Alligator mississippiensis: one gene and its partner. Each later gene encodes a partner of the first gene's protein in a complex. Links are inferred from orthologs where the notes say so. Each region holds a gene or a part of one and is shown on either strand. Other genes may lie near its edges. The genes, in order: SMC5 and NSMCE2.

What was found.
Region 2: SMC5 (region 1) and NSMCE2 share a complex: the UniProt entries of both Homo sapiens proteins name them as parts of the SMC5-SMC6 complex. The link is inferred for Alligator mississippiensis from reciprocal best matches to the Homo sapiens genes SMC5 and NSMCE2.

Annotation. Positions count from the first base shown.
Region 1 is NC_081826.1:194,264,828-194,279,408, reverse strand, and holds the start of SMC5 (structural maintenance of chromosomes protein 5), read right to left. Parts: upstream 7,274-14,581; 5' UTR 7,125-7,273; coding exon 6,991-7,124; intron 4,013-6,990; coding exon 3,871-4,012; intron 2,363-3,870; coding exon 2,310-2,362; intron 1-2,309. UniProt on the Homo sapiens protein: Core component of the SMC5-SMC6 complex, a complex involved in repair of DNA double-strand breaks by homologous recombination.
Region 2 is NC_081826.1:19,246,753-19,262,172, forward strand, and holds the start of NSMCE2 (E3 SUMO-protein ligase NSE2), read right to left. Parts: upstream 6,116-15,420; 5' UTR 6,057-6,115; intron 6,030-6,056; exon of another isoform or gene 5,932-6,029; intron 5,826-5,931; 5' UTR 5,756-5,825; intron 5,698-5,755; exon of another isoform or gene 5,489-5,697; intron 1,267-5,488; 5' UTR 1,252-1,266; coding exon 1,119-1,251; intron 1-1,118. Other genes in the region: WASHC5 (WASH complex subunit 5), read left to right, coding at 9,361-9,546, 10,879-11,024, 12,284-12,368, 12,901-13,001, 14,831-15,023. UniProt on the Homo sapiens protein: E3 SUMO-protein ligase component of the SMC5-SMC6 complex, a complex involved in DNA double-strand break repair by homologous recombination. Is not be required for the stability of the complex.

The DNA of each region.
Region 1 (14,581 bases):
AAATTTTCCAAATAAGGAATGTAAACAGACTTAATTTACCTATGCTGCCTTACTGCTTCTAGATCTTTTTTTAAAAAACAGCTTTAAGTACATACACATCAAAAATAGAACCTTAAAATTAGGCTACAAAACCATATTCAGGCAACAAATGATGGCATGTTCATAAGCATTTGATACAACTTTTGAGTGTAAGTCCTATGGACATCAAATACTGGTGGAGAAATATAGCTTGGTCAAAGCATTCCAACAGTTTTGACATACCAGAAGTCAGTGCTGATTGCAATTACTATACGAACTATTACTTATGAGTTTTGTGCTGGTGCCACCTTACACGTATTAATGAAGCCCTACAACTGTAGAGTACAAGTATTGGAAAGCTTGTGTGCAATATTTATTATTATTAAGTTTCTAAATTCTAGTAACAATTAGAAGAACAAACATAAATAAATAAATGTATCCACTTCATCAATTTAAAAGTGAAGTGGAAAATACATCTTTTAACAAAGTTACTACTTTAAACATACTCAAAAATTAAATTCTTTTTTATCCAATCTGCTGCAGTGTAAGCATGTCATCTCAGTTCTCACATATTTGCCTTACTTCCTGGCCAACAGGTGAGATGTTCCAAGTCCTAAGTCCTGCCTTTCACGTGTTCTATATAAAAGTGATTTATGAAATATTATGTTTCAAGTAGTTTCCTTCTGCAGGCCTTTCTGCTTTGGCTAAAATCCCTCTGCAAGGTACTGTTCACATATTGCTACTGTTTTTAAATGTCCATATGTTTGATATATGAAGAATCTCTATGAGTGCATTGTACTGTTCAAATGACTAGCTAGACTATATAAACCCACAAACACACTAGAAAAGGCAAATAAAAAGAAAGCAAGAGACCCATAAACACATTCACATGGGAATTAAAATCTGCCCCTAAAATTACTCCTCTAACATATTGCTTAGTACAGCATTATGCAGGCAAATGAACTCAGAACTGCTGCTGACAAATAAAGTTGACTAGTGTTGACAAACAAGTCTATTGCAAATCCATCACCACTTTCTTTCTGGTAACACTTAACTATGGTCCTCTTATACTACCTTGCAATTAGATGAGGGTCCCATTATTAGGATTATAATAATCCTTGGCTCCACCCCTATCTCCTGAAAGAGTGGAAATCAAACAGTCCCTTCAAATAATTAGTTTCTTTCTATCCAAAAAGTATAAATCATCATCCTAAGGAAGCAGTCATTGCATCTTCTTTCTTTCTTTCTGCTTCTAACACTACAATTAGTTGTCCCTGTATTACCAGACATTTTCCTAGCCCAAATTTCTTTATCAATACCCAAGGTTTTTCGCTGAATAACTTTCACACATCACCAAGGTGACTCAGTTGTCACTTCTTCACCTCTTTATTCTGGAAACAAGACTGTCTTTGCTATCCAGACAATACTGTTCTAGTCAGCTCTCAATATAGTTTCTTATGCTGGATTTCAAAACACTCTTATTCAGTACCTCTCACTAATTCATGGCCAAATATTTTCTCTGTTAGGCCACTGCTATATGTTACATATATTATGCAATTAACTCATTAATCACACAATAAAATTAGACCAGCCTCCCATGCAAAGTAATTACCACACCATAAAAAATGATTAGAGCTATAAAAAGAGCCAACCAGCTACCAAGAATAAAGCGTGAAAATGTGTAGCTCTGTAGCTCATTTCTATCCAGTTTTAATTTAAACATGCAACAGGGACCCAAGAGACAGTTTACATACATAAAAGATAGCATGTCCTTGGAACTACCTTTCTGTCCATTTTCTTTCCCTTTTGTTTGACACACAATTCTTTGCTGCAGGACCCAACACTGCCCATAATACCCAATGTTATGAAGTCATGTTGCAATCTTAACAAATAACTTCAAGCTAAGAAAGAGCTCTGTATTACATAAAAACAATTTAAGCAATTAAGGTACAACTACATACAGCATTCTATGCGTTCACTTAATCAAAACTGCAACAGCATTATATGAAAGTTGAATACATAAAAAGCTAAAACAAATTAAATCAAGGAACAGTATTTTCACATTCACTCCTTTTCTTTTTCTGTGTGCCAAGAGCCCCATTTTGAGATTATGGCAAATATGACAGGTTATTAGCTGGTCAATTATAATCACGTGAAAGCCAATTAATATTATCAACTTCAAAATGAGTCAGAACTACTTGAACCAGGAGACATCACTATACTAGACTTCTTGCAGATCTATTTTGTGATGCAGAAACAAATGAAAACTGAAAGGTGGTTTTAGTACTTACAGTTCAATTTCAACTGTGCCTTTACAGCAGCCTCGCTTTACGAAGAAACCAACCTGCAAAGAAAGAGCTACAGAATTTAATACCTGAAAATCAAAGACATCTCTAAAGTCAAATTTCCCAGAAAACTCATAACAGCTTTTGAATATTTCACCACATAATCAATACCAATCTATGCTACTTTACACACAGTTCTCAAACATGCACTTACTATACAGACAGTGCATGGCCAATACTGAAAGCCCATTAGACAGTAATAATAGACCAGGACTTCAGTTTCTTCACGGAAGAGAGAATAGGGCGATTTAGTGAACAGTCTGCTATAATTCACTGACTGCTCCAAAACTCATGCCCTACCTGAAGGTTGATACTTGAATCATAATTTGAAACTCATTTAGCAAAATGAGTTTCAGATAAAGCCATATTCATTTTTATTTTCTAGCAGTATACACAATACCTAAATAAAAAAGGTGAGAAACCTGACAGCTGGCCCCATCAAACCCATCTATTTTGAAAATATTTGCTTGTCCAGGCAGGAGAATGATTAAGTCACTAAGTGACCAGTTAATGGACACAACCACTTCTAGATGGCCACCAAATTCACTCTTGAATTTTCAGAAAAATCTCAAAATGTCAAAACAATTTTAAAACCCCATTGTCTAATCAAGACATTTATTTTATACTACTACACAGATAATAATACATTTCTTGTGACAAAGTAACAGAGAAAAAACAGAAATCTTCCCAATGGACTCTACATGTTCACATTTATGGGATGCACTGGTGACAGTGGGCCCTGCAGTGTTTGTCAGAGGTCATTGTTGCAGTCTATAAACATGAACATGCAAAGGCCACTTAAATAACCTACTGAGGTTTAAGAAGAACACTTCAGCCTCCCAAAACTCCCTATCCAGGAAACAAGAGGAAAAGAACATGCATTTCCCCAGCCCTAGAGTTTTCATTAAGTTATGTTACTTAGGATATCTGAGTGTCCCAACATGAATTAAATACTTTCAGACTGAATGCAAATTCTCTCTATTTATCTTGTCTTGCTAAGTCACTCCTTGGCAAACCTAAAGCAGAGCTGTGTTTTTCATGGAGAGCTTTTTCAGTGCAGCAGACTTAGGTATTGTCCTACAGAGGCTCTCTCTGTTTCCAGTACTGGCAGCAGACAGTAGTTGTCACAGAGAAATTAACAGACCACATTCATACTGCACGGCTTTTGGCAGCTCTGTCCAGGTCCTGCTCAACTACAAGAGCTGTGCCAACAGGTTAGAGAGCCCAGTCTACTGCAGCAACCATCTTTCAGTTGAGCAGGTGTTGCTCTGCTGGCAGAAAGAAGGGCTCTGTTGTCACAGATGCTGTTAGCATCAATGCACTCAGTCTCACTAACTTCTGCAATCAAAGCTCTCTTAAGTGGAGACTTGGCCCTATTTGCTGAGGAGCTATTATGCACCTTCAAATGGAGTTCACAAAAGTACAGGGATTATGGCTGCTTCCTGCTGGACAGGGCCTTCAGTGATTTCCTCAGTTAAGTACCTGGAAGACAGAAATTTGTACTGACCTTGTCTGCTCGCCCTATGAAAGAAGGTTTTCCGGCCAATCCCAGACAGATGGCACAAACAATGCTTGATTTTCCTGTTCCATTAGCACCCACTATCATGTTCAAGTGAGGTCCTGGATACACTTCACAATTATCATATGTTCTGAAAGACACCATGATTTCACGTTAGTCTTCATTATAAAATATAAAGCAAGGTATACTAGAAAAAAAAGTGAGAATTTTAAACAAAACAAATACATGCAAAGTAACATCAAAGTGGTCTAAGGCAAGCACAGCACAACACAACAATACATCTACAATACTACAGATGAGATTTAAGTGCTTCCCCAAATATTGCTTTGTATAAAAATTTGCATCATAAAAAGAATTAATTCCACATCATCTGATGCAGCATAAGAAAAGCCATCAAGCTGTAGTGATCGTCTATCCTTTTCCATAAGGACTGCAGAAAATGAAAAATTTGAGAGGTATGCCAATTTGAAAAATTTGCTCTAGGTATGGCAATTGCAAAGCTGCCATTTACTTTGATGGAGCATGGATTTCACCCTTATTAGTTTGTTTTTTTCATTCAGGGAAAAAGGGCAAGCAGAATTTTGACAAAACTGATAAACAAAAGCACCTAAAGTTGTGTTGAAGTGTGTCATATTTGACACAAGCCATCTTCTGCATCACAGATCCTAATGAGCATTGCCTATATTCAAAGTTCAGACACAGCCTGCTGTGCTGTATATTAAGTTCTGCAAAGGTTTCTGATTCCATGGCACACAAGTGCAGCTACCTACAATAGCTTTCTATCCTACAATAACTTAATTTAGACTAAACTCCTCAGATTTTGTATTTAAGCCAGACACAGCATGCTCAGTTGCCAACCAGAAAGTTGCCAGACACACTGATAGACAGCAAATCCTTCTTTAGTCCATCAACTGCTGTGCCATTAGAAGACCTGACGCTGACCAGATCCCATCATTTTTAGGCTGCCATTAGAAGTAAAGTACTGGGAGTAACAAGATTACCAGAGGTGCAGAAAGGGGAGAGCAGGCTGTTCTCAGAAGGCACACTTCAATCAGACTCCCTCCTTCTAATGTGTATGAACAAAGTTTTACATAATTGAGCGTACTTAACTGCAACTCCAACATATATAAAACCACAAGGCTCTTCCATTTTCATGACTGAATCTAACACTCTGGGCCATCCCTATGTCAAAGCAGTTTTTTTGACAATGCCATTAGAATGCCATTAAATGGTTTCGCCCAGAAAATCCATGTCTTGCGGTTACACCTCCTCCCATAGCTCCCTGCAGTGAACAGCTTGCACTACCCAGCACTGCTGTTTCCCAGGATGACTCCAGGCTAAGCGACACCAGGGCATTGGTTACACTCCATCTGTCCATTCTTGCAATCATAGCTGTGAGAGACTACAAAGGTGGGGGGAGGAGGGGAATCCCCATCCCCACATATGCAGGGGCATGATCCTCAGAGAAAAGCCCTTGGGGACATAAGAACTGCCATTTACTGGGTCAGACCATAGGTCCATCTTGCCCGGGCTCCTGTCTTGCATCACACAGAACCAGGTCCTGCATAAGGACAGTCTCCACTCCCCAGAGCTGGCATGGGGCCCCTGCCTTGGCAGACCCCATGGTACTCTCCACCATACTGCTGGATTCTCTGTAGCAGGCTGTGGGATACGCCAGTCCACTTCTGGACAGCCCATCACCACCAGCTGTACACGCTCAGGGTCTGCACCCTCCATCATCCCTATCCTTACATCCCCCCTGGACACAGTGACAGGACATCCTTGGTGAAGATGAGGGTCCCTGGTGGATGAGCGTGTACTCCACCTCAATCCCACAAGCCATCAGGAGACCTCAGCTGGCAGCTCCTCCAGAGAGCTGTCACCATGGATGGCCATCTAGAACAGTTTACAGACTCCCCCAAAACCTGCCCCATGAACAGAGGGAGATCCTGGCACGTGCCTACCTAGAACGTGCCAGGCTGCAGCCCCTTCACCGCCTGCTGAGTTTAGGGTTGCATTACTCCCTGCACCTGTTCATTTACAAAAATGAACTAGTCCCATGTGATTGAATGTACTAGGCCTCACAGAGTCCCAGTCCTAGACCAATAAACTAGGTCCCCCCTAGTCCCAGGACCTCTAAGTCAACCTCTTCCTGAATCTAGCCAAGCTACCAAGCTTCCTCACCCAATGGAATAACAAACAGGCTTGGTCAAACTCCTCATTGGCCCAGCCATGCTAGCGATCTACCCAACCAAGACAGAGGCTCTGGCTGGGAGGACACCCTGCCTCCCCTGAGGGCTGCAAGACCTTTATCCATCTATGGCCCATTCACACCTCCAGACAGTTGCACTCAGTGTTCCCAGGTTTACAATAATTATCGCATTTGTATGATAATTTCAACCCTTGTACAACATATGATCAATAAGAGCAAAAGCTTTCAAAATGTATGATCATTTTTGAGGTCGCTCATTGATGCAGCACAGGCAAAACCCAAGTCACTCTCAGGGAGGCCTAACTGACTTTGAAGTTTGTGGTCAGTGCTTTCTTATGACCAATGGCCTCGAAATAAAGAAACGCTTCAACTTTGAGGACCCGGTTCTCACTCACCCACTGGTGATTACAGTGCGCAATATAAAGTCAAGAAGAAAAAAACTTATTTGCCTCCTTTTTTCAGCCTACGATTGTTTTTCAGCAAATATGATCATTTTGAGCTTCCAAGACAATAATTTCTGCAATTGAAGACCTAGCAAGGCTGCTGGTTTCACTGAGCAGGGTCTGCTGCTTCCTGAGCATCTGCTGCCTATCCCCAGCCCAGCAGGCAGTGCCCAGCATGCTGTGCTCCGTGTTGCCCCTCGGTGCACTTGTCCTGGCGCTCCGTGCCCTCGCTCCCAGCCGGTTTTGTCTTTTGGGTGTCTCAAGCAACCACCAAAGGGGACTCACAGCCCTACTGGGCGGGCTGGGGGGGGAGGGGCAGCACAGCTAGAGACCTCGTGGGGGCAGGGGGAGGTTCCCTCACTGCTTCTCTCCCCCCCCCCCGCCACACGCTGACGTCACACCCTCCACTGCCCGCCGCCACACGCTGACGTCATCCCCGCGCCCCGCGCTCACAGGAAGTTCTCCATGGCGACTCGCACGATGGAGCCGTCCACGAACGCGGACGGCGGCTTCGCCTCCCCCGGGCCAGCGGCGCCCGCGCCCCGCCCGACGCTGCTCCCAGCTCTGCGCTTGGCCGGGGTCGCCATCTTGGTGCCGGCTGTATTCCTACTCTCCCCACCCCCCCGAACTGCTGCCGCGCGCCGTGTAGAGACTAAGCGGCCGGCTCAGCGCTCCCGGCGCCCAGGCGCCCATTGGCGGGGAGAGGGGGAGACGTCACAGCGCTCGGTGAAGCGCGAGGCCCATTGGCTAATCAGGGTGCGGAAATGCCGGCGGGGAGGGGAAAAGGTGAGGGGGGGGAGTGACGTGGGGGGGAGGGGAAGGAAACGCTAACAGAGAGCGACGCCCGAGCCTATTGGCTGAAGGAGAGCGAGAGGCGATGTAACGAGAAGCCTCATTGGCTGAGAGAGGCGGGGGAAGGCCGGGTCCGCCCGTTACTTTCAGTTTCGCTAGGCTCGAGATTATGGCCGCGCGTTCTGCCCGGCACGTGACGCCTTATTGCACTCGCCATTGGCTGCGGCTGGGCAGGGGCGGTTCCTCCTTCAGAGGGAGAGGGGGCGGGGCCGGGTGGGTGGTGCCCGGTTTGGTTTCCTCTCACTGGCTACCTCGCGTTACGTTTGCGTGAGGGGGAGCTCGCGTCATGGGGCTGTCAGGACTACACTTCCTAGCTTGCACCGCGGCTCGTGGGGCGCCCTCCCAGCATGCGCTGCGGGCGGGCGCGGCGCATTCTAGGAGATGTAGTCCCCCGGGCACAAACAGCCCGCGCTTGGCCCTGTGGTTTGGGTCGTGCAGACACGTGACCTCGGGCAGGACTAGGCCAAGGCCTCAGGCTGCCCCCGACTGGGGGTGGGGGAGGAGCTTTCTGTCTCTGCGGCTCTCGCAGGTTGCAGGCATAGTGCGATTGCACAGTAGACTGAGCAGGGCTGCACTTGCAGTATCCTGCCATAAAACTGTCTCTTCCATTACAGGGCTGGGAGGTAGTGCTTGAACATGTGTAATAACTTGATGGCTGGTTCTTATCCAGCTTTCATTTGAACCCATGGCAAGGCCCCTAGGCTAGTCAGGCAGGCACTGGCACAGGCTGCCTAAAGGAGCTGTGCAATCTCCATCCCTAGAAATGTTCAGGAGCCGGCTGCACAGATACTGGGCTGGGATGGTTTAGAGGTGGTGCTGCCTTGAGCCTGGGGCCAGATTTGATGGCCTGGTGAAGTCTCTGCCAGCCCTGCTTTCCTGTGTTCCTGTGTCCTTCCACTTCCATGCTGTCGTAAAGTCGAGTTACTCTGCAGTAACGTTTGCCTCAGAGTCACCAGCCTTGCCTTGCCTTGCCTTGCGGTTTGCATGGTGCTGAATGACATGAGAACAAAGCCAAAGGTCTGCCCTCATTGAGCAAGCTTGGAGGGTGCTGGCAGCTATAGCCAAAACAGAGGAAGGAGCGACACAGTAATCATCACCTCAAACTTCTTTTGAGCCTCCCACCTTGTGTAACCTGTCTCCTATTTACAGAAGGAAAGGAGTCATCTCCAGATACAAGTTTGGAGCAGGTTCTTACTTGCTACTGGAGCTGCCATGAAATGTGCCCTTGCAGCTCAGCTCCACTGCCTCAATTCAGTGCTGAATGCCACAGCCCGCAAAACTCCTCAGGGAGGAGCGTCACGGACCTTATCATCATGCTTTGTCTGTCTCTCCCCTTGACATAACACACGCTGGATCAATGCAGAGAGCTACAGTAGCAGCACATCTTCAGACCTGTTCATGATGCCAAATTTGGATGGAAATGGAATTTAGATTATCCTTACTGCCTTATCTCCAAAGATTTTCCTGACTTTTTAACAGCTGACTTTAAACATAAAGGAAATGACCAACTGATTCCACAGGGAAACATGCTAAAATTAATTAATTTGCTCAGTCAGGCAAGTCTCAATCAGTATGTTAGTTTTTAATAGTCAACATCAGGTGTCATTTGGTTAGCTGTAGAAGTTGTAAATATAGTGCAATAAGCCTGTTGTCAACAAGACAGTAACACAAAAAAGACTGTTAAAAGTTCAAACTATTCATGTAAATTGGGAACTAAACATTATCGGAGCATGATTTCCATCTGTATATATAACAAATTGAGACAGTTGTTCACTCTTGTTTTATGCTGTATTGACATAGAATGACACCAATTTTTTTTCTTAAAAAATCACAAGTGTTTTTGCCTCAACTGTCTTGCTTGATTAATGTTGTTGCAGGATTAGGATATGCTACATGAGAAGGAAGTTCTTCTCAATGTGTTTTGAGTTTACCCTGTCACGTTTTAGTATGTTGTCATTTCATTTGTTCTCTTAAATGCAGAACATTTGAACTTCTTTAAAGAGTATCCTTAAAAGATTGCATCCTATTAGGTTCATTTTCTCCTTCATGTGTCTCCCATATAAGTTATAGAATCACAGAAAATTAAGGTTGGAAGGGATCTCAGATAATAAGTGCCACAGATATTATCAATAGATTTTGTTATTTATATGGATGTACCACCCAGATTAGGATCCAGGCCCCATTGAACTAAATGTTACACAGACACAGAGGCTAGCTGGATTTAGGAATTGATAGTCTAATTTACAACAAAAAGCATCAAGTGAGACTAGCAAACACCATGAAGGAAGCTGAGGATAAAGGTAGCAAACAGCCCCAAATCATAGGCTGATTACACCAAAATGTGTTTATTTAGACCTAGACTCCATAAATATACCTAGAAAAAGTTATGGATAATAGCTATAGCATGTCAGTATTACCAGAAGACACTGACAAAACTCAGACTGAAACACTGCATTCTGAGACCGGATAACAGATAATTTAATTAAAAGACTTATATCAGGCACTGGCCAGAATAGAAGAATTTGCAGTAGGGAAGGTCATCACACATTTTAAGTAGCAACAGCAGGAACACAGAAGATAGGCTTAGATGATTGTGTCAGACTAAGACATGCTTAATATTGTTTACTGAACTGATTTCAGACTGAAGATGGTCCTGTCCTTTCCACTAGATGGCAGCAGAATGTAACACTTCTTCCACAGGGAAATGATTTTACCACTGAGAAATTATTTCAAAGGTCTATGGGATATACAGTCATTAATGTAAACATATGCATCCTCTAAATATTTGCACTCCTTGGGGTAGGACAGAATATTGTCAGTGCTTGGACCAGACAAAGCCTTTCAAGTAAAGATGCTGGTTTCTGCAACCCCTAAAGTATCATTTTAAATCTCTGACTTGTCTTTACTTTGTAACAAAACAAAAAGAAAAGTACATTTTCTAGTTAGTTTTGTTGCAAAGGGAGCCTGTAGCATGGAAGCGAATACATAGGTGTCAGGGGTAGCACTTGCTTGGAACGCTATCCTCCTGCCCCCCGAGCCTTACACAGACTCCCTTGGAAGCCAGCCCAAGCATAGCTTCTAGAGTGGGAGCCCCTGACTCCTCAGACCCAGAGACCTGGCCCTTTGGTCCCTGACCTCTCTGATCATCTATGGCCTCCTTTTGGATGAGCTTCTGGAAAATTACTTTACCTCTTTGATGAGACAGAGCATGCCCAAGTCATATGCAACAAAGCAAACAGCTCTTCTTCCGAATACAAAACAACATTTTTTGGTCAATCTCAATATAAAAGGCAGCATTCTGGAGCCACAAAGCCTAAGTCATCGTTCCAGGCAGTCTCTGAGAGGAAAAATAGCCCTGAATGTTCTCGCTCCCCCAAAAATCTCAGGCACCCCTGTTTTTCAAGATGTTTTATGCTTTCATGTTCCCCCTTGGCACCAGAAGCAGCAGCGAGTCTTCTACAGGTGCTGAAGCTGAAATCTATCTGGTGCTACTCTGGGCCTTCATGAACAAATCAGCCCACTGATCTCTTGATGTCCCATTCCCTACTAATAGAGCTCTGCCTGCAGGTTTCCAGAAATATTACAGCACAACCATAGTCTGTCACAATGAGAGCTTCTGGGATTAGTGCTCCAACTCATTGCTCATTCAGCATCTCTTTGCTTTTTGTTAAGGGATCCTAGAAGAACAAATTCATGGTGGTGGAGTTTTCCAATCTAACATTCAGGGCTATTTTTCCTCTCAGAGACTGCCTGGAACGATGACTTAGGCTTTGTGGCTCCAGAATGTCACTAGCACATTCACAACTTCCTTTTGTTACGCTTGCGCTGACACCGCCACTGAGCTGCTAGTGTGGCTTCCAGCCAAAGGAAATAAGACAGCTACACTAAGCAGCCAGTTTAATATTAGGCTGCTAGTATATAGGGACAGAGAAAACAATCGTCTTTCTCCAAGTCTTGGAAGAGGCAGTTGCTGGAGTAGGGTAGAGAGGAAGAATAAGCTGAACTGAGAGAAGAGGAACCACTGTTGTGGATGAGAGATGAAAAAGAAATACGATACCCCAGAAAAGAGCAGGCATGAGAGAAGAATGAAGGATGAGGTAAAGATCTGAAAGCTAATATGGCAGAAATATGGAACATTCTAAAGATGGGGAAAGCAAGAGAGAAAGAGCAATGGCAATGGAGGTGTACATGGAAGAGAATGAGAATGGGAGAGAGAAAATTTCAAAGAAAGTTAAGAACAAAAAGGAGAGAATAGAAAAAGAGATAGGAAAAAGGAGAAAGGAAGGAAAGAAAAATGGAGCATGGAGATGGGTGTGGAGAAAGATAAGTATAAATGGGAGTGGTAAATGTTTCTACATTCAGTGAATGGAGATGTCTCTCTACCACTTTAATTATACTTCCCAGCATGAGGCCAACTTATGAAATCATATGAAATTACAATGTAAAAGTTGCTGTAAAGGAAGTTCTACAATTTAAAAAATGGTAAATATACCTCTAGGTTAAATGGTTACATTAATTACACACAAAAATGGAGATAATAGTAGGGTTTGTGTGAAGGAGCAAGGGGCAGATTTTTGTTTTTGCTTGGTAGGAATGTGAGGAGTAGGAGCTTCTGGTTTGTAGTAGGTGGTAACATAAGAGCAATTCATGCCTATTTCAGCGTTGCTCTTAAATTGTATAGCCTTTAAATTTACAAAAAGAGCACTTGCAGTTCTGGTGAGCCCATTCTTTTATGTGTATTCAAAATCAGACAGATAAAATTATTCACTAATAAAGCATCAAAACTACGTCTCTGGAAGATGTGTGTTCTGGGTGGTGTTCCAGGCTGTGACAAGTACTAAACTTTTGGGTGCTAATCATGAGATATTTGCATGGAATTACATGAAAGTAAAATTGGATTTACATGTTGTTGAATCAGCCCATAAAATTTATTTTGGTCTAAAATAACATAGGGGTCAGGATTTGATTTCACTTACATTGGTGTAAACCAGGAAATCTTTATTTATTCAGGAGTTGCACTGATGTAACTGAGAGTGGAATTTGGCACCATTTTAAGTAATAAAATTGAGCAATGAAGAGTTAATAAAAATACTGTATAGATAGCAAAATAAAGCTGATTTATTATACAGAAGGGAGACAATGAAAAAGGTTCTTTCAGAACAACTTTGGTTTTACTACAATACGAAGTTGTTTCTAGAGCAAACAATCCACTGAAAATCTGGGATCCTGTATTTGCTGCTGAAGGTTCTATTTTCATAGTTACAATGGCATTGTCCACAGAGCTGGGGACATACAGGGGTTTCTTTTTATACATTTGTCCCTCTAACTTCTGAAGAGATTTTTAGGTGGATGATTAACCTAACATAGTACAAGCATTGTCCCCAAATCTTTGTGGTCTCTTTAAGTTGCTCTAAAGATGTAAAGTGTACATAATGTTTAGGAATTATCCCCAACTCCTACTATAGATGGGATGGGTTTATACATATTGGGCATGTGTACACGTGCATTAATGCGCTTTTGCTACTGCACATTAAGTTTAGTACCTCTAATGTGAGGTACTACATAAAGGCATATTAGGCTACCCTAATGCACAGTAGTGAAAGTGAACAATTTTTTTAGTGACCCTTAATGCACAGTAGCCTACTGTACTGCACATTAGTGTATTGGCACATTTTTATGTGCCGCCTTAATGCTACTGCATATTAAAGTGCACGTGTAGATGCACCCACTGTAAAGCTGATGGAGCAGCTTTATTCCACTTCCTACCCTATCACAGGATAGATACTTGTCAGTGGATGAAGTCCTATGCAGTTTTCCTGCCTATTGCCACTAAAGAGTTAAAGAAAGCTCAAAGACTCTAGGCTTGTGTAAATACGGAACTATTCGATTCAGATTCGGCCAATTCAGAGGCCAGTGATTTGATTCAGAGATTCAGATGGCTGTTCCAAATTGATTTGGCCAAATCAGCTTCGGAAAATTCAGTGCCGATTCAGAGAGATTCGGAGATTCAGCCATAGAGTATAATGGGGAATCAATGAAATACCTATAACTTTATCATTTTTGTGGCTGATTTGGATGAAACTTGCAGGTATGGTAGCCCCTTCTGGGGGCACAAAGCTTGCCATGTTTCAAGGAGATAGGTGCGGGGGTTTCTGTGAAACTGTACCTCAAAGTATTGAAAGCAAAACTCGTGTCACATGTGCGTGTTAAGCCACAGCGGGGTGAAAACTGCAGGCATGCTAGCCCCTGCTGAGACCATGAAGCCTGCCAAGTTTCAAGGAGAGAGGTACAGGGGTTTCTGGGAACCTGCACCTCAAGCTGCTGACAAGCAAAACTCATGACATGGGTGACACTCTGTGTGTGTGTGTGTGTGTGTTAAGGCACCAGGAAGGTGAAAACTGCAGGGATGGTGGTCCCTGATGAGGCCACAAAGCCTGCCAGCTGTCAAGGAGATAGGTGTAGGGGCTTCTGGGTTCTGAGGCCCTGCACCTCAGGCTGCTGACAGGCAAAACTCGTGACATGGGTGCTTGTGTGACTGTCTGTGTTAGGGCACAAGGGGGCAAAAACTGTATGCCTGCTAGGCCTGCTGCAGCCATGAAGCCTGCCAGCTGTCAGGGAGATATTGGCAGTGGCTGGCGTGGAGGAGACTGGCTGGTGCTGGTGCTGGGACTGCTGGAACGGGAAAGTGGATCCCCCTCTTTCACATCCCCTCATCTCTGCCCTTCTGCCTCCCTGACTCTGTTGACCAGCACCTATGTCCAGTGATTGAGGGTTTTGGTGCTGCCAGTGCACTTGCTCCCATTCACACTTGGGTCGCACATGCCCACCAGCATGTGGACTGTACTGGACTGCAAAGGATCCAGCCATCTCCTGATGCCCTCCTTCAGCTGCCTCACCAGTGCCTGCATGGCTGATGACAGTGGCTTGCCCCAGCCAAGAAACTGAATTGATCCCCTGAAACTTCTCCATTTGGTTCTCCAGTTCCCTTACTATGGGGATCACCTGGCTGAGGAAGGCATCGCCAGCACTAAGGGTCTCGGTGGCCTTGAGGAAGGGCTTGAGGACCACCAAGATCTGGGAGATGGGACCCCACTCAGCTCTGTCAAGGGGGCTGCTGATTCCGATCTCCCCAAGCAAGGCCATCTCATGGATGGCCTTCTGTTGTTCCACCAACCTTTCCAGCACCAGGTAT
Region 2 (15,420 bases), about 180 Mb from region 1:
ACAGCTATAAGGGGTCATTTTGAGGGGCTGGGGTTGAGAGAACACAGCATGCTCAGCACATTTTCTCATACACCAGCTGCCCCTTATGTAGAAGTAAAAGATGTGGTGACACCAGAAGCAAAGCGGAACAGAGCTGGTTATACCAGCAATGGAAATGGGAGGGAACCACCAACTTATACTGTCCTTCTTTCTCGAAACTAAGCATTGGTTTAGTTGAACGGAACCTTCAGTATGCCATGAAAAAGGAATCATCTGTTTTCATGAGATTTTCTCTCCTCCTTCTTGTTAAAAAAACTATTCATTCATTTCTTTGAGTTCAACAGTTTTGCACTAAAATCTCTGCAGTACATGCAGGAAGAGGAGAACCTTCCATTCCCTTGAACAGCTACCATATCCTACAATTATTTTAGGATTCAGATAAATCTGTCCCTTGACAAATACAGTCCAGATTGCAGCTGCAGTGGTGGCAAGAATAGGGGACTGGGTATTTTGCTTTCATCTTGAAAAACAAATGCATACAAAGCTGGCATTATACAATACATAGACCAAGATTTTCAGAAGCTGCTAGTGATTTGAGATAATTCCCTTAATGGGTGGCTAAACTGATACATCTTTCAGAAGCATGATATCACAAGATGGGTTGAATATTTTATAAAAATCTAGTCTCTTACGACAGATCTCAAGCTGCGCACCCCAAATAATCAATAGTCACTTTTGAAAACAGCTTAGGACATTTTAAAACACATAGGGATAAAAACGTAGTGTTAGAGTCAGTCAGGCTATTCATCTACTCAGAGGGGTTTGCACAAGTCGTCTTCCTTTACAGCTAAAACTTCTAAAAGGCTGCAGAATAGCGAACAGCAAAAAGTAATTAGTTTTCTGGACTTAAAAAAAAGCTAGAGCATGTCTATTTGGGAGTTATATTCCATTTAAGTTATTGTTTAAGACAGGGAAATGATTTAAATGGCAAGTCTCCAAAGTAGCTAGAAGAAAAGCTGCTGTTCTTATAATAAAGATGGATTTTTATTGTTCCCAGGCCTATGTATGTGTGCTTAAGACTGTCTGTACAGTTCAAAGGTGGTAATAAGCAAGACAATGTACTCAAACCAAATACTTACTGAGATTTTCCACAAGGTCAAAAGCAACGTTACTAGCAATATCCATGCCGGTGTTTATGTATGACTGGCAGTTTTTTAAAGATGACAGAGAAGAATCCACAGCATTGAATGAGATCACTGAACCCCCAGGCATCTTGAAATAATTACTCTGGATGGAAATAGCAAAAAAGAGAATTCAGAAACAAAACATTTAGCAAAAGAAATAAAAGCACAAACATCTAATGAAGAGTCCCCACAATCTAATCCTGTGTTAGTAAGGGTTAAATCCTGGCTCCACTGTAGTCAGCAGGAGTTCAGTCACTAGTGGAACCATAATTTAACCAGAGGGATTCAAACTTCCTATCACACAATGCTGAACACCTCTCCACTGCAGAAAGCAGCCTGTGGTTTTCACATTAATAAGCAAGCTACTGAACTCAAGTCAAGCAATACACTTCCAGATTACAAGGGCTATTTTGACAAAAAAGAAGTTCCCTGAAAAAACCTAGTTTTCACTCATAGAGACCAGAAAACAAAGGACAATAGTCTTAAGAATATATTTAAAAACCAAATTACCTAATCCCTTCACTGAAGAAAAAAAAAAAGAAAGAAATAAGACAGATCTCTCTCTCTCTCCCTCTCAGCAAAGGAGTCATTCAGTAATGCTTGGTGCCACTAGGTCATTGGGGCACATGAATAACATTTGTCTTTTTTGCTACCCGATGAACATCTCAATTCCCATTGCTATACTTACTATAGTCCAGCTCTGGCCTACTGCCTTCTCTCTGTTGGTATGCTTTTTGCCACACAAGATGCAACTTCCCACCTGTAATGGGATAGCTTGATCCTACAGTTTTGTTCAATTGCTCACCATTAATCAATAGCCACCCTCAATACCAGCTCTCATTTCACTATGCTCTGACCACAGGGAGTGAAGCATAGATCTGTGGCGAAGAGTCCTATATTTTTAAGAAGACCAAAGTAAAGACCAAGCCTGTTGCATTAAATTTAGGGATGCACTGCAAAGTTTTCTTTGGCCAATACCAATGGCCAATTATTAATCAGCCATATCAGCCGATAAGGATCCAACTGCCGATATGCAGCCTGGCAGCTTGGAGAGCAGGACCAGTAAGTCTGTGGGGGAAGGAGCATGGAGGGTGCAGATCAAGGTCCCACAGCGAAGGAAGGAGTGGGACCGGGGCAGAGGCACGGGCAAGCGCGGAACGGAGCCGCCTGCCTCCATGCCCCCTGTGCACTGTCCCACCTCAGCTGGGCAATGCCTACCTCTGACCCTGCCCCAGCTCCTACCCCATTCCCTGTCTCATTGTGGGGGCCTCAATCTGCCAGCCCTCGATTCTACACAGCCCCCACTTTTTGGCACTCCAGAATTTGACACTGATGCCAGCAGGACATATAGACCATAAGAATTGAGCTTTATTGTCATGCTACCTCCCCATCTGCTGGGACTCAAGGATGCAAGTTCACCAAGACTGGACCTTTATCGCCCTCACTCTGAGGTGTCCTGGAGAGAGCAAGCCAGGGACCAGACCAAGGACTCTACAATCTTTCAGGACTGTGACTTGCTTTCCTGCTGCTAGGCACAATGCTGTGTACCCTTTCCTTTTTTTTTTGTCTTCTTTTTAGTAAGTATGGCCTTGCCAGCCAAAACTGTCTCTCTGAAACACTGTTGTGACCTCAAAACCAGAGACAACTAAAAGCAGTCTATGAGTACCAAATAGCTTGGTACTCATACAAATTTGCCTAGCCCTCAAGTGGCTGATAAACCATAAGCTGTGTCTGTCAGTTACTAGCAGCAAAACTGCAAGTAAGGCAAAATGCACTTTCTGGTGCTAGCTATCTTTGCTGCTCTACTCTTTCCCTTTTTGCTTATGTCTTGCTCATCTTTAAAGAAGCAGGCTCAGACTCCAACAGATTCAGTCCAGCACAACTTAAGCTTCTCTTTTCCCCTAAGAAGAGTAGTTAATACTATATTCAATATAATCTAAAAGACTGTCAAACCAGAGGCGGGAAGAGTTCCTTTAAAAAAAAACACCTGTCTCTGAAGATCAAGGAGACTTCCTGGGTTACTGAGTCCAGTTCCCTGCTTTTGCAGGCAATAATTCTATTAAAAAGCTACTTTAAACCCTCAGATCAACTACAGGGTACAATATGTGCAATGCTAAGAATACCCTATAACCTATTGTAAGTAAAAGCAGAGGAGACTAGGGTTCTCCCCAGACCTTGCCACAAAGATATAAAAGTGATTAGTTAATGTAGGCTGAGAGGATCCTTGGAATCAAGCTCTAAGCTACAGAAGGCACACCACACACATATATGCATAGAGATGCATGAACACACTCTGTCCCAATCTGACCTAAGGGAAAAACTGCTTTCTGAGTCTAAATTAGGAGATCAATATACATCTGAGCAAAAGAATAAAACTCTGTGGCTTTTTTTAAATAACAACAGAAGCATCAGTGCACCTGACTCAAACCCGCACCTCAGCTGTAGCCAACGTTCCAGTGTTCAGATAAATGCAAGGAAAACAAAAATGAAGCCAAGAGCATTTACAAGGAGAATGGGGGGTGAGAACTTTCCTGGCTGAACTGGCAATTAGCAAAACCCACGAAATGCACCTGCCACACTGCAAAAAGAGGCATTTCAACATGGGCACTGCAAACACAAGTCACACCAACTGATTGAGTCACAACTCCCTATCCTATTATGTCAACCATCCATAAAGTTTTCCAGCTCAATCTTGAAGGGATTCAAGTACTTTTCCCCCAATCATCACTGCCTGCTTACAGATGTAAAAAACAAAAAGACCCCCCAAAACAGCACTTCAAATTCACAGCGCCCCTGCACTGAGCACAGCACATGCTCAGAAGAGGCATTGCATTAGTTTGCCCCAGATTGCCCAATGTCTGTATAAATTGGGCACTCTGGTGGGTTTTTTTCTGGTGCTTTTATCTACTAGCTGATTGAATCCTTCTAGCTGTTAGATAAAAGTGCCGAAAAGCCCTGCTGAAGTGCACAATCCATACAGGTGCTACAGAGCCAGATTGAACTAACACGCTGCTTCTTCACATAAAGCACTGGGTTTTTATTCACGTCTCAGCAGCCACTTTGCTTGGAAAGCTGTTTCTAAACATGACTTAAGTCATTTCTCTGCTTGTTTGTTTTAATGACAAAGGATAAATATATTCTTTATTCTCTCTCTCTCCCCCCTCCCATCCATCCTTCTCATCTACTGAGAAACAAGGTCTTCAGACAAGATTTACATGACACAGAGAGAGAATTTGAAGACCAGCTCACAAGTATGCCTCTGTTGTGATACTCTACACACTTCTAGGGACACTGCATCAATTTTCTCCCTTGAAAAATTATTCTATTGCTTAAATCACCTTTGCTATTAGAAAGTGTTTCCCCACCTCTTAAAAAACAAATCCCTTTTCTGTAGCCTAAGGTGTTCCATTCATTCTTATAAGCACCTACTCTACTGTTCATCTGCTGCTGCCATGCGCATAACATATTTCATTTCATTTTCAGGTGTTCCTCCCTAGTAAATAACCCGGGTCTGCTCCTGCTTTTCAGTTTCATGAAAACGGAATTGACCTGATTGTTTTCAGTTTCACTGCTGCCCACTCAGAAAACCAGGACACTGGAAGACTGCAAGGCAACTGTCAAGATTTTGGTCACTTTTACTCTGCTGAAGCTTGTGAGCACTGCCTTTACTCAGAGCAAAGGCAGTGGGGTTGTGACTCACTGGCAGGCAGAAAGAAAGCACTGCATCTGCTTAATGCTGGCTTGTTTGGAAGGAAAATTTAGGCTTTAGGTTTTAAGGAGCCATGTGAGGACCCCTTAGCCAGCTCTGAACTCAGCTGGAAGAGTCCCGCACGCTCCCTTTGGGTAGAAACTTTCCGACAGCTGCCCAGAGCTTCTGCAAAGCACAAACTTTTTCTTAAACACATGTGCCACAAGCAGCCATACACCACATGGGCCACAGCAGGAGGACCCCCAAACTGTACTGCACAAGTAAGTAATCCCCACCTTGCTACACCATGTGTGTGGGCAGCTCCCCCACGGATTGTGCACCCCGCTGCGGGCTCCCTGCTACACTGACTGCCAGCTGCACCGCCTGCCCCCTGGGATGTGCAGGCTGCAAAAGCCAGAGGGCGACAGGAAGCCCAGAGCCAGGAGCTGTGCAGGGAACGGTGACAGGGTGGGAGCCTGGGGGGGCTGCAGCTTAACCCATCACCGGCTTCATGGTTTAAAATAACAAAGGACTTTTCTCACAATAAATCAGCGGGGGCCAACCACTCTGCTAGGCAGGCCTCAAATTAGCTCTGTGGTCTCCCCAAGTACCACTCCCCTCCCCCCGTCTGACCTACTGCTCCGCTTTCTGCTCCCTGCCCAACCTGTCACACGCCACTCAGGCGGCGCAGGGCGGCCATCCCCACACGAAGCCAGGCCGCCCCACTTCACCCGGCAGCTCACGCTCCGCAGAAGCGACCGGCAACCGCAGACCCTCGCGCTCCACGGAGGTGAGCGGGAGTTTCCCGCGGGAGTCCAGAGCCGCCAAGGGCTCCGCGCGACATCTTCGAGGCGGCACTGAACTCCGAGGGGACGCTCCCACCCAAAGGCGCGGCGGCGCTCACCGCTCCAGACGCGAGTCCCCTCAGATGACGATGACGACAACGAAGCCTCTCAGCTTTGCCTCTTTTGTGCCTGCGAAAAAAATAACAGAGCTGCTTTTCTGCCTCGGGTGCCAGAGTCCTGTGGGACACCCGCCCTGGCAGCCCCGTCTGCACCACTGAGGGGGAGCCCAACGCACCCCGGGGTGCCACGAAGGCCCTCAACTGTTGCCTGCGGGGCCTGGCCGGGGGGCAGTGGCGGGGGCTGGGGAAGGGGCTACGACCCTCCCTTCCCTTCCCTTCCCTTCCCTCCCCCAGCACCCACCTGCGGCCCGGCCCAGGCCCGCGCCCGCGCCGGCAGGCCCCGCCTCGTCCGCTCACGTGACACCGCTCACGTGACGGGAGGCCCGGCCCGGCTCGGCCCGGCCGCGGAGGCCGCTGCGAGCGGTGAGTGCGGGACGGGTGACGGTTGGAGGCGGTTGGGGGGTCAGGGCACGGCGGTTGGTGGGGGCGGGGCTACACCGGGGCGGGCGAGGAAAGGTCTTGGCCCCAAATTGGGCTGCCCCAGGACGAGCTGCCCTGGGGGTCGCTGCTCCCTGGGGGGGGACCGGGCATGTGGCGGGCGGGCGGGCGGGGAAGGTCTTCTGACTGAGACACGCGTGTGTGTGAAGCGCCTCCCCGAACAGGCTGTCGCCCGAAAAGGCGCGTGTCCCAGGCCTCTTGCCCCTTTCACGGGGCCGGGCAGCGGGGCTTGTGAATTGGGACCTGCCCGTGCAAACTGGAGCAGGCGTGGTCTGTGCCAACTGTGAACTCGGAAGAAACATTTTAGGAACTGACTGAAAATACAACCCTGGATGGAGTGAGACCGGCGGCGGGCAAAACGCAGGCTGGATGTGGAGGGACTTTGGTGCTGTTGGGCCCGTGGCGCGTGTCCCGCCACCCCGGGGCGTGCAGTGTGGCTGGCGTGGCTCCTTCTGGTTACTGCCACCAGCCGCAGGGAGACGGGCAGGGACCAGTGTGCGCAGCCCCGACCCCAGCCCACCCCGCACCCTCTGTGCACCTGCGCCGGCCGGAGCAGACCAGCCAGGACCCATGCGTGCAGCTCCAGCTCGCCTGCCCGCCCGCCCACGAAGAGCAGCAGTGGCGGCCTGGTGCTGGGCACCAGGTGTGGGTCCAGGCGGCCGCAGCAAGACGGTCCCGGCAGCAGAGAGTGGGGGGCGGCTGCTTTTCCCCCATCCTCAGTAGCCGCTTCTGCGGGGATGCTGCTGTCCATCATAGGTGGGCCGGTCTGGAGCAGGTGTGGGGTGGGCCGGGGCTGTGCACATTTGTGAGCTGGCCTGGAGCTGGTCCGCTCTGGCTGGGACGGGGCCGGGAACGGGGCTGTGCGCTTGGTTTCTGGCTGGTTTGGAGCAGGTCCGCTCCAGCCAGGGTGAGTTCAGAGCAGGCGTGGGGTGGGCTGGGGCCAGGACTGTGCTTAGCAGCTAGCAGACACTGTTGGTGGTGGCAGTGGCAGGGAGGAACTGCAGGGCCCATGGACTCTGGCTTTGGTGAGCTGTTGGGGGTGGGTGCTGACCAGCCTCCAACAGCTCCTCAAAACTGCCTATGCGGCCTGTGGGTCCAAATAATTGCCCACCCCAAGCTAAACTGTTCTCGGTGATGGCAGATGACAGAACAAGGAGCAATGGTCTCAAGTTGCAGCAAGGGCAGTTTAGGTTAGATATAAGGAAAAACTTTCGTGCCGGAAAGGTAGTACGGCACTGGAACAGGTTACCCAGAGACATGCTGGACTTTCCACCCTTGGAGGTTTTTAAGACCTGGCTTGACAAAGCCTTGGTTGGGATGATATAGTTGGATGGTCCTGCTTTGAACAGAGGGTTGGGTCAAGGGTCCCAAACTTTTTAGATTGAGGACTGGCAAACTGCGGACTGGAAGTCGCCGCAGACCGGCAGCCAACCCTTTTTTATGCTGAATCCGCCACATGCCGGTCACTTCCAGTCCGCAGTCACTTCCAGTGACACCGTGCAGGGCCCCACGGCAAGAACTTCTAACCGGAACAACCGTAAAGACACTTGCACCCAGCGGGCGGGAGGGAGGGAGCAAACCTCAAACGCAGCAGCCACTGCCGCAAGATAGGATGGGCCAGCCCTCCTGCATACCAGCATCCAACCCTTTGCGGCCCAGCACCGGGTCATGGCCTGGGGCTTGAAAACCCCTGGACTAGATGACCTCCTGAGGTCCCTGCCAACCCTAATTTTCTATGATTCTGTGAAAAGCTCAAGTTTCTCCAGCCAGTTAGTCTTAAAGGTGCCACCCTGCTCTGCCTTCTGCCTGACTTCAGACTACCACTCCCACAGCTGACTTTCTGGAAAGAAAGAAAAGTGGAAGTGACTTTGTGTATTTCCCATTGACTGAGCTGAGAGACAAATGAAGGGAAAACAAATGAGTTAGGGCTGAATTTGGTAATGCCTGTATTTTTATTTTGGCAAAGTACTTAGTCATGTTAGTCTGAAGTCAGGCAGAACACAAGGTAGACTTGTACCATATAGAATAGCTATTCAAATATGCTGTGTAGCATCTGAAAAAGTGAGCTGTTGCTTATGAAGGCTTATGCATCTCTTTAAGGTGTAATTTTGTTCTTCCTTCTGCATTTTGATTTGTTATTCCTGAAATAATGCCAAAAAAATGTTATTTGAGCAGACGTTCTGCTCTATAATTTATTTAAAATTCTAGCAACAATTGCAGATTAGGTTTCCAGAGAGCTGGTTTTTGTTTCCAGCTCTGCCATAGATTTGCTGTGAGATCTCAGACAAGTCGTATAACCTCCCTGTGGCTCAGCTAATTTATCTGTACTATAGAATAATTGTGGTTACCCAGCGTGTTAATAAGGGTTGTACAGTAAATCATCTCTGTCAACTATGATGGAAAGAGATTGTGTCATGCTTTTTTTTGTTTTACTGGGTAAAATAAGATTTCTGATTTGAAGAGAGATTACTGACATGTTACCTTATCTATAATACGGAAGTTTGGGATAAACAGATACTGGTTTGGTAATAAACAAAGGGCCCTGAACTGCATTCAGTTTCCATACACTCCAAGTGTTTAACCACATTGACGAACTGTCATGGTGCACTATGAAAATAGTTTCTATGCTCATCCTTTACAGTTTCTAAACTCATCTTGTACAGTACCAACTTTGTAATGGTGTTCGGAATAGATAGACTCAACTTTATAAGCGTCTGAGACTATTTTGTCCTTTAGCAGTTGTTCTAAAATCTTTTGGTATTGGAAGTTGTGCAGCTGTTTCTCATAAGCTGATGATGCTAGCTAAGTGTTTTGTACACACTGAAAATAGACTACATCGTGTTTTATTTATAAGCCATCTACTCTGAGATTCTGGAGGACACAGAGTTCTAATACAGTAGCTTTTCCAGTTGAATCCAGTCATCAAAAATATGAATATGAAATATACTGAACATGGTTCTGTGTTTTTTGTTCTGTTTTCCTTTTTGCAGGTACTCTTAATGGAGCAACCAATTTTCCAGCGACGATTTTTTGTCTAAATGACTTAAAGGCTGAAGCTTGCAGACGGATTGCAGTAATTTTGCTATCCTTTCACCATAGTCTCCAAGATGGTTGATTTTCTAGCTGAAAATAATCTCTGTGGCCAGGCAATTCTTAGGATTGTTTCCTGTGGGAATGCCATCATTGCAGAACTTTTGAGACTATCTGAGTTTATTCCTGGTGTGTTTAGGCTAAAAGACAAGGCTGATCAACAGAAGTATGGCGATATCATATTCGATTTCAGTTATTTTAAGGTAAGCATTTTCCTATTGTTTTAGCTCTAGACTGCCATTTTCTTTCTGGAACAAAATTTCTGTTTGGCAATATAGAGCATATCTTTGTAAAAATCGGCACACTTAATTGATTTTAGTCATTACCACCAAAATTTAGAATACAATAAAATGTATTTTATACATATTTTGACCTTGACCACAAATTCATCCATAGACTGTGACATGGAAATGCCTATGTGTTAGTTCTTTACTTCTTGAGTAAACTAAATCCATACATTTCTTATCACACATTTTCCATGCCTTATTTCTGTGAGTCTGAATGTGGCAATCAAGATTTTTGTGCTTGAAGAGCTTGAGTGTTAATGCTGATCCTATCAGAGCACTTGAATGGAGGATTTAGAGGAAAGCAAGATTGATTTACATTAGTAATCACACCAGATACCATTTCAAAGTGATAGATCTTTCATTACTGAAATAAGTTCTTATTTTGGAACATTCATTCTCATTATTTAGGATAGTTCAATACATAAAATCTCACTTTCATCAGGACCAGCAAAGTCTATCAACTTGGGTGTGACCCTTAATATAGTATTGTGGGCCTCCTGTAGTATTTCTGGCGGTCTTTAGCTGTATTCTGTATCTTGTACTGCTGTGAACACTGCTGTGTTTCTGTTATGATAAAAAAAATGTTTGTTATACTTTCACTCAGTCGGTTGACATATGGTACATTAACCAGCACAGATATGACTACTTTCCACAGAGGAGCTGTGAGATTCCTTCTTGAGTTGAGCCTCTGGCAGTACCCACTTAACTCTGCTATTCTGGAGAACAATTTGTATGGGACTTCTCATGATGAACTGATTTGCCTTTCTATTTCCAAGAAGCATACAATAAAAGAGGTTCCTTATCATGCAGTTCTCCTTGTAGAAAGAGGAGTGGGCTCTGAGCAATAAATGAGATTCGGAGTTCCTGAATTTTAATCCAGTCTCTGATCTCATTCTCTTCAGTGCCTATGGGAAGCAGAAGAACAAATAGATTCAAAACATATCAGCGATTTAGAAATTCTGCTTCTGCCTGAAACCCCCCTTATACAAATAATTCCTGAAATTACTATAACCAAAAGAGATAAAAATAAATTGTTTCAGTTTGGGCACTTGGTGCATTTGGCAGGACTTTATGCAGTTTCATGGCTTCAGTTGTATAGTCTGTCTGTCACTGTCTCCTTCTGTGTGGATCTTTCACAGAGCACAAGAAAGAAATAATAATTGATAATTCATCCATTATGTCCTGTGGCAAACTGTCACAATTACTTTCTTTTTTACTCTTTTAAAATAAATGTCCTGTTCTTCTTAGGGGCCTGAAATCTGTGAAGGCAAGTTGGAGGCCAGAGCTGAGCTACTGGATTTAGATGAAGAGTTCCGTGAAAACAACATAGAAATATTAACAAGATTTTATCTGGCATTTCAAAGCGTCCATAAATACATTGTAGATTTAAACAGGTACATGTAACAGGGTTTATTAACATAATGACACCAGTAACCATATGATCTTAGTCTTGTGTTCTGTGTTTTCTTTTTTGGGATACCCCTCTGCTAAATTATATATGTATACACTTAACAACATAGTCTAGTCAAGTGTCAGAGATTCCCCAAAGCCAACTAGCAACTGCTTCTGATGTTGATTTTTGTGTAGAAAACCCTGCTGTGGTAGTGGGTAGTAGTAGAAAACACTCAGGTAGACATTTAAAAAGGAGGGGGTTTTATCCAAGTTTTAATCCTGCCGTTAATGTCTTACTCTGTAATCTTGGAGAGTTAATTAACTCTGTTCCTCAGTTTCTTTGCATGTGAGTTATGTCTTATGCACATTCACAAAAAGTCTTGCAAGAGAATGAAAGATATTCAGATAACCCTTTGTTACCTTTTGCATCTCTGTTTGAAGAAAGCAATATCATAACAGTCTCAAATATTTTTTTCCAAAGAATTTGCCTTATCCCATGGTCTCTGCTGAAAACAGCTCACACCATTCTATAAGGAAGATGCGCTATCATGTCTATAAAGTCAATAAGAGTTTTGGGTTTTGCTGATCTAATCCAAAAATCCTAAACTAGCTGGAATAGTAAAAACCTCTTAACAATCAATGTGAAGATACTTCACTTCCCACTCTATCCCAGCAAAACGGAATAGAAATACGTTAGAGATTTCCATAGTATCTGGTATCTGTAAGGTAATCTCTATTCATGTTGTCAGAATCTCAAAGTGTCTTCTAGATTCTGGTAATAAAGTACTGTTTAACCTTGTGCATAATATCCCAGTGTTGCTTCATAGTCTATGACTGGATCCTAGGCTTTTTCTTCTTTAGGTTACATCCATCCACACAGAGCTAAGTGGATAACTTGAAAACTCCGTGTTCTCTTTTCACTAGAATGTGAGACCCAGGTTTGCAGGATACTGACTATTTTCAAATCCCACAGAGATGTTAATTGGGCCAGTATGTGTTCCAAGAGGTTTGGCACCTAGTGGCCTCAGGCCTCTAATGCCAGCTTTTCCTTGCTCTCAAGTAACTTGTGCTTATTGAACCTGTTCCAGGCAGACTTTTCCATAACATGGGAAATATTAACAATAAGCTTTAGGAGTGGCAGGGACCAATTTCTGTTGACCTTCAGGGGAAATTGTCTGACTGAATTGTGAAGGTACCTGGCTTAAGAAGCAGAGAGAGGACTCTTACTAAACCATGACTGACCTTTTGTTAACATTTCTAGATATTTGGATGATCTCAATGAAGGAATTTATATTCAGCAAACACTGGAAACTGTGCTCCTTAATGAAGATGGGAAGCAGCTTCTAGTAAGTAATCAAGAGTTAGTAATCAGTATTATAAATGAAGTCATTTAGTTATCAGCAAATTTGGCATCCGGCTTTTCTAAATTTAGCATTAGGTATAGACAAAAATAAATTTTTAATTTCACAAATGTGATGAAGATCTGTGGCTCTCCTTTGTGAGAAACTTTTATGGGACTGGCCAAGGGAATAAAGAGAACTTCACTTTCACTCAATCGTGGTTCGAATTACATCCAGGTCATTAGAAATCCAAAAGTCATTGACAGTAGGCGACTCCTATTAAATGAGCTGACCATCTTACTGAATAGCTGTCGTCTTCCCACAGGTTGCACAAGACAAATGGCCAGTTTTATGAAGCCAATAGTTTTAACTGGCTTGGAAACATAATTTGTCAATCTAAGAATAAGGCTAATGCAACTCAGCAAGCAAACATAGGGTATTACTGTCTATGTAATGTCTAAAGATTAATTTGCTTCAAAAGTAAAGGCATGTTGTTATTAGATGGCATAATTTGTTAATTTATAGCATTTCTCAACAGTGTGAAGCGCTCTATTTGTATGGAGTCATGTTGCTGGTTATCGACCAGAAAATTGAAGGGGAGGTCAGAGAAAGGATGTTGGTTTCCTACTATAGATACAGGTATTGTACTTTAGAAGTGCCGTAATGTGGCTTCTACAGCTAGAATACAGCAAACAGCATATTACGCTTAATTGTTTTATAGGTGCATAAATTTAATGTAGCATGTAGAAATATTGGCTTCGGTCCTAGAACTGGGTAGGCTCTTTCCCTTGATCATGTAAAGCAGGGGTGGGCAAAATGGTGGATCCAACCAGTAGATCCACTCCATTTCCTAGCAGCCCCTGCTCATGTTGCTCCGGGCAGTTTCCATGGAGACCCCAGGAGTGGCGGGCCATGGGGGGGGGGGGGGGATGACAACAGGGTTTCCATGGAGATTGGCCTAAGCAGTCCTGGCAGAGCTCGTGGCTAGGTGGGAAGCTGCTCTGGGGCTGGGACCAGGGTCAAGATTTTGTTGCAGTGACAGCATGGTCCAGAGCCAGGGCAGAATCATGTTCTATTGCCTACATGCCCCAGGCAAGACCAAGCAGGCAGCAGATCACGGCTCTGCCCCGGCTCTGAACCATGTTGTTACTGCCGCAAAATCTCGGCTCCAGCCCCAGAGCAGCTCCCCACCATGGAGACTGGCCTGAGCAGCACTGGTAGGGCTCACAGCATGGACACCTTAACCCCACGCTGTCTCCTGAGGTCTCTATGGAAACTGGTTGGAATGTGGGCAGAGGCTGCTGGGAAACGGAGTCCGCCATGGGCCCGACCTGGCTCAAAGACTGGACTTCGCCTGCCACTGATGTAGAGCCTGTGGAGGTCAGTGATCTCCTTGCATATATCGGGGTGTGGCTGCTTAGATCCATTTGCAAATTCAGTGCCACAGATGCCTTCATTTAGTGACTTAAGGACTTGAAATAATTTATCAATAGATTCCTCATGGACCTTCAGTACTGTCACTCTGTCATCAGAGATTTCCAAAGGCACTTTTGGAGCTTTGTGAGGTTGTCTTAGTTTCTAGATCACAAATTTCTCCCCCATGCTATACCTTATTGAGTTGCAAAGCACTCTTGAATAACACAATCAATAAATGGATTTCTGAGTAAGGCTGGCAACATTAGATTAAACCAAGCAAAAACCTCCAAGGTTAACAGTCTACACCAGTGGTGTCCTGCTAAAACCCTGTGCTCTGAGCCAATCCGAACCATGGTGGGGGGGACTTCTGGGCTGGATCTGTAAGTCTAGGTTTGGGCAGCAGCGCAGGTTTGGAGGCAGTGGCAGAGCAAACAAGGGCCTCCCACCGATGGCCATGTCCATCAGGGCCCAGGGACTTCAAATTGTGTAGCAGGTCACGTCCCACTAGCCCTGCCCTGAAACCTCCAGTAGGCTGTCGGACTACCAGCAGGCTGGATGGGCCAGTTGCACGAGCTGCATCCAGTCCATGAGCTCTTATGTTTGACACCTCTGGTCTAAAGCTTTTTACCCATAATAAATTCACTAAAAGAGACAATAGGGACAGTACTTGAATACATGCACATGTATTGGTACTTCTGGTTGACTTCGGATATAAATGGACAGATTTCCATGTCACCTCTCCAGAATGTGCAGATGGGGCAAAAAAGAAAATTTGGGGGAGGAGGAAATGGAGGGAGGGAAGGAGTTAGATTCATTTTCTAAGTATAATGTTTCCATCTTGTGTGACCTATAAATAAGGTTCATTGTCTCCTTTGATACTCTTAGTTGGAATTCCAAGTACAACCATACATCTATAACTGCCCTCCCGTGATGTGGTAAAAATTATTCTTTTGTCTGCAGGAAAAAATAACTTCTAAAAACCAGTAAGAATTTTGTCTCTTAAGTGAGTCAGTTCACGTAACAACATTTGTTTTTTTGCTTTTATAACTTAGTGCTGCTCGATCCTCTGCTGATTCCAATATGGACGATATATGTAAACTGCTCCGAAGCACTGGGTATTCAAGCCAATCTGGGGCCAAAAGACCTCCAAATTACCCTGAAAGCTACTTCAGTAGGGTACCTATAAGTGAAACATTCATCAGCATGGTTATAGGCCGCTTGAGATCAGATGACATTTATAACCAGGTGGGTTACTATGTGGTGCGGTGCCTTGCTGTTAATCAAGAGGCATGAGTCAATAGCAAGGTTGTTCCCAGTACACCCAGTTTGAAATGAGTACCTGGTCATTTAAGCAGGGGAGGTGGGGGCAGTCAAAGGCAGCCAGATGTGTAGTAACCATTTCTATCCCTCTTTCTCTGTTCTGGGAGCGGCCAACGCCAGCTCCCTGTAGCCGCTGAGCTGCACCATGCCCTGGTGCAGGCAGCTGGTGCCGGCAGCTGTAGCTGGGGCTGGGGTGGAGACGGGCAGAGCACCGGGAAGAGCCTGGAGCCACCGCCAGCCTGAGTCTGGGAGCTGAACAGACCCCCATAGCCAAGCCCCTGTCCGCTCCACACACCTTCAGTTCCAGTGTGAGGAGTGGGTG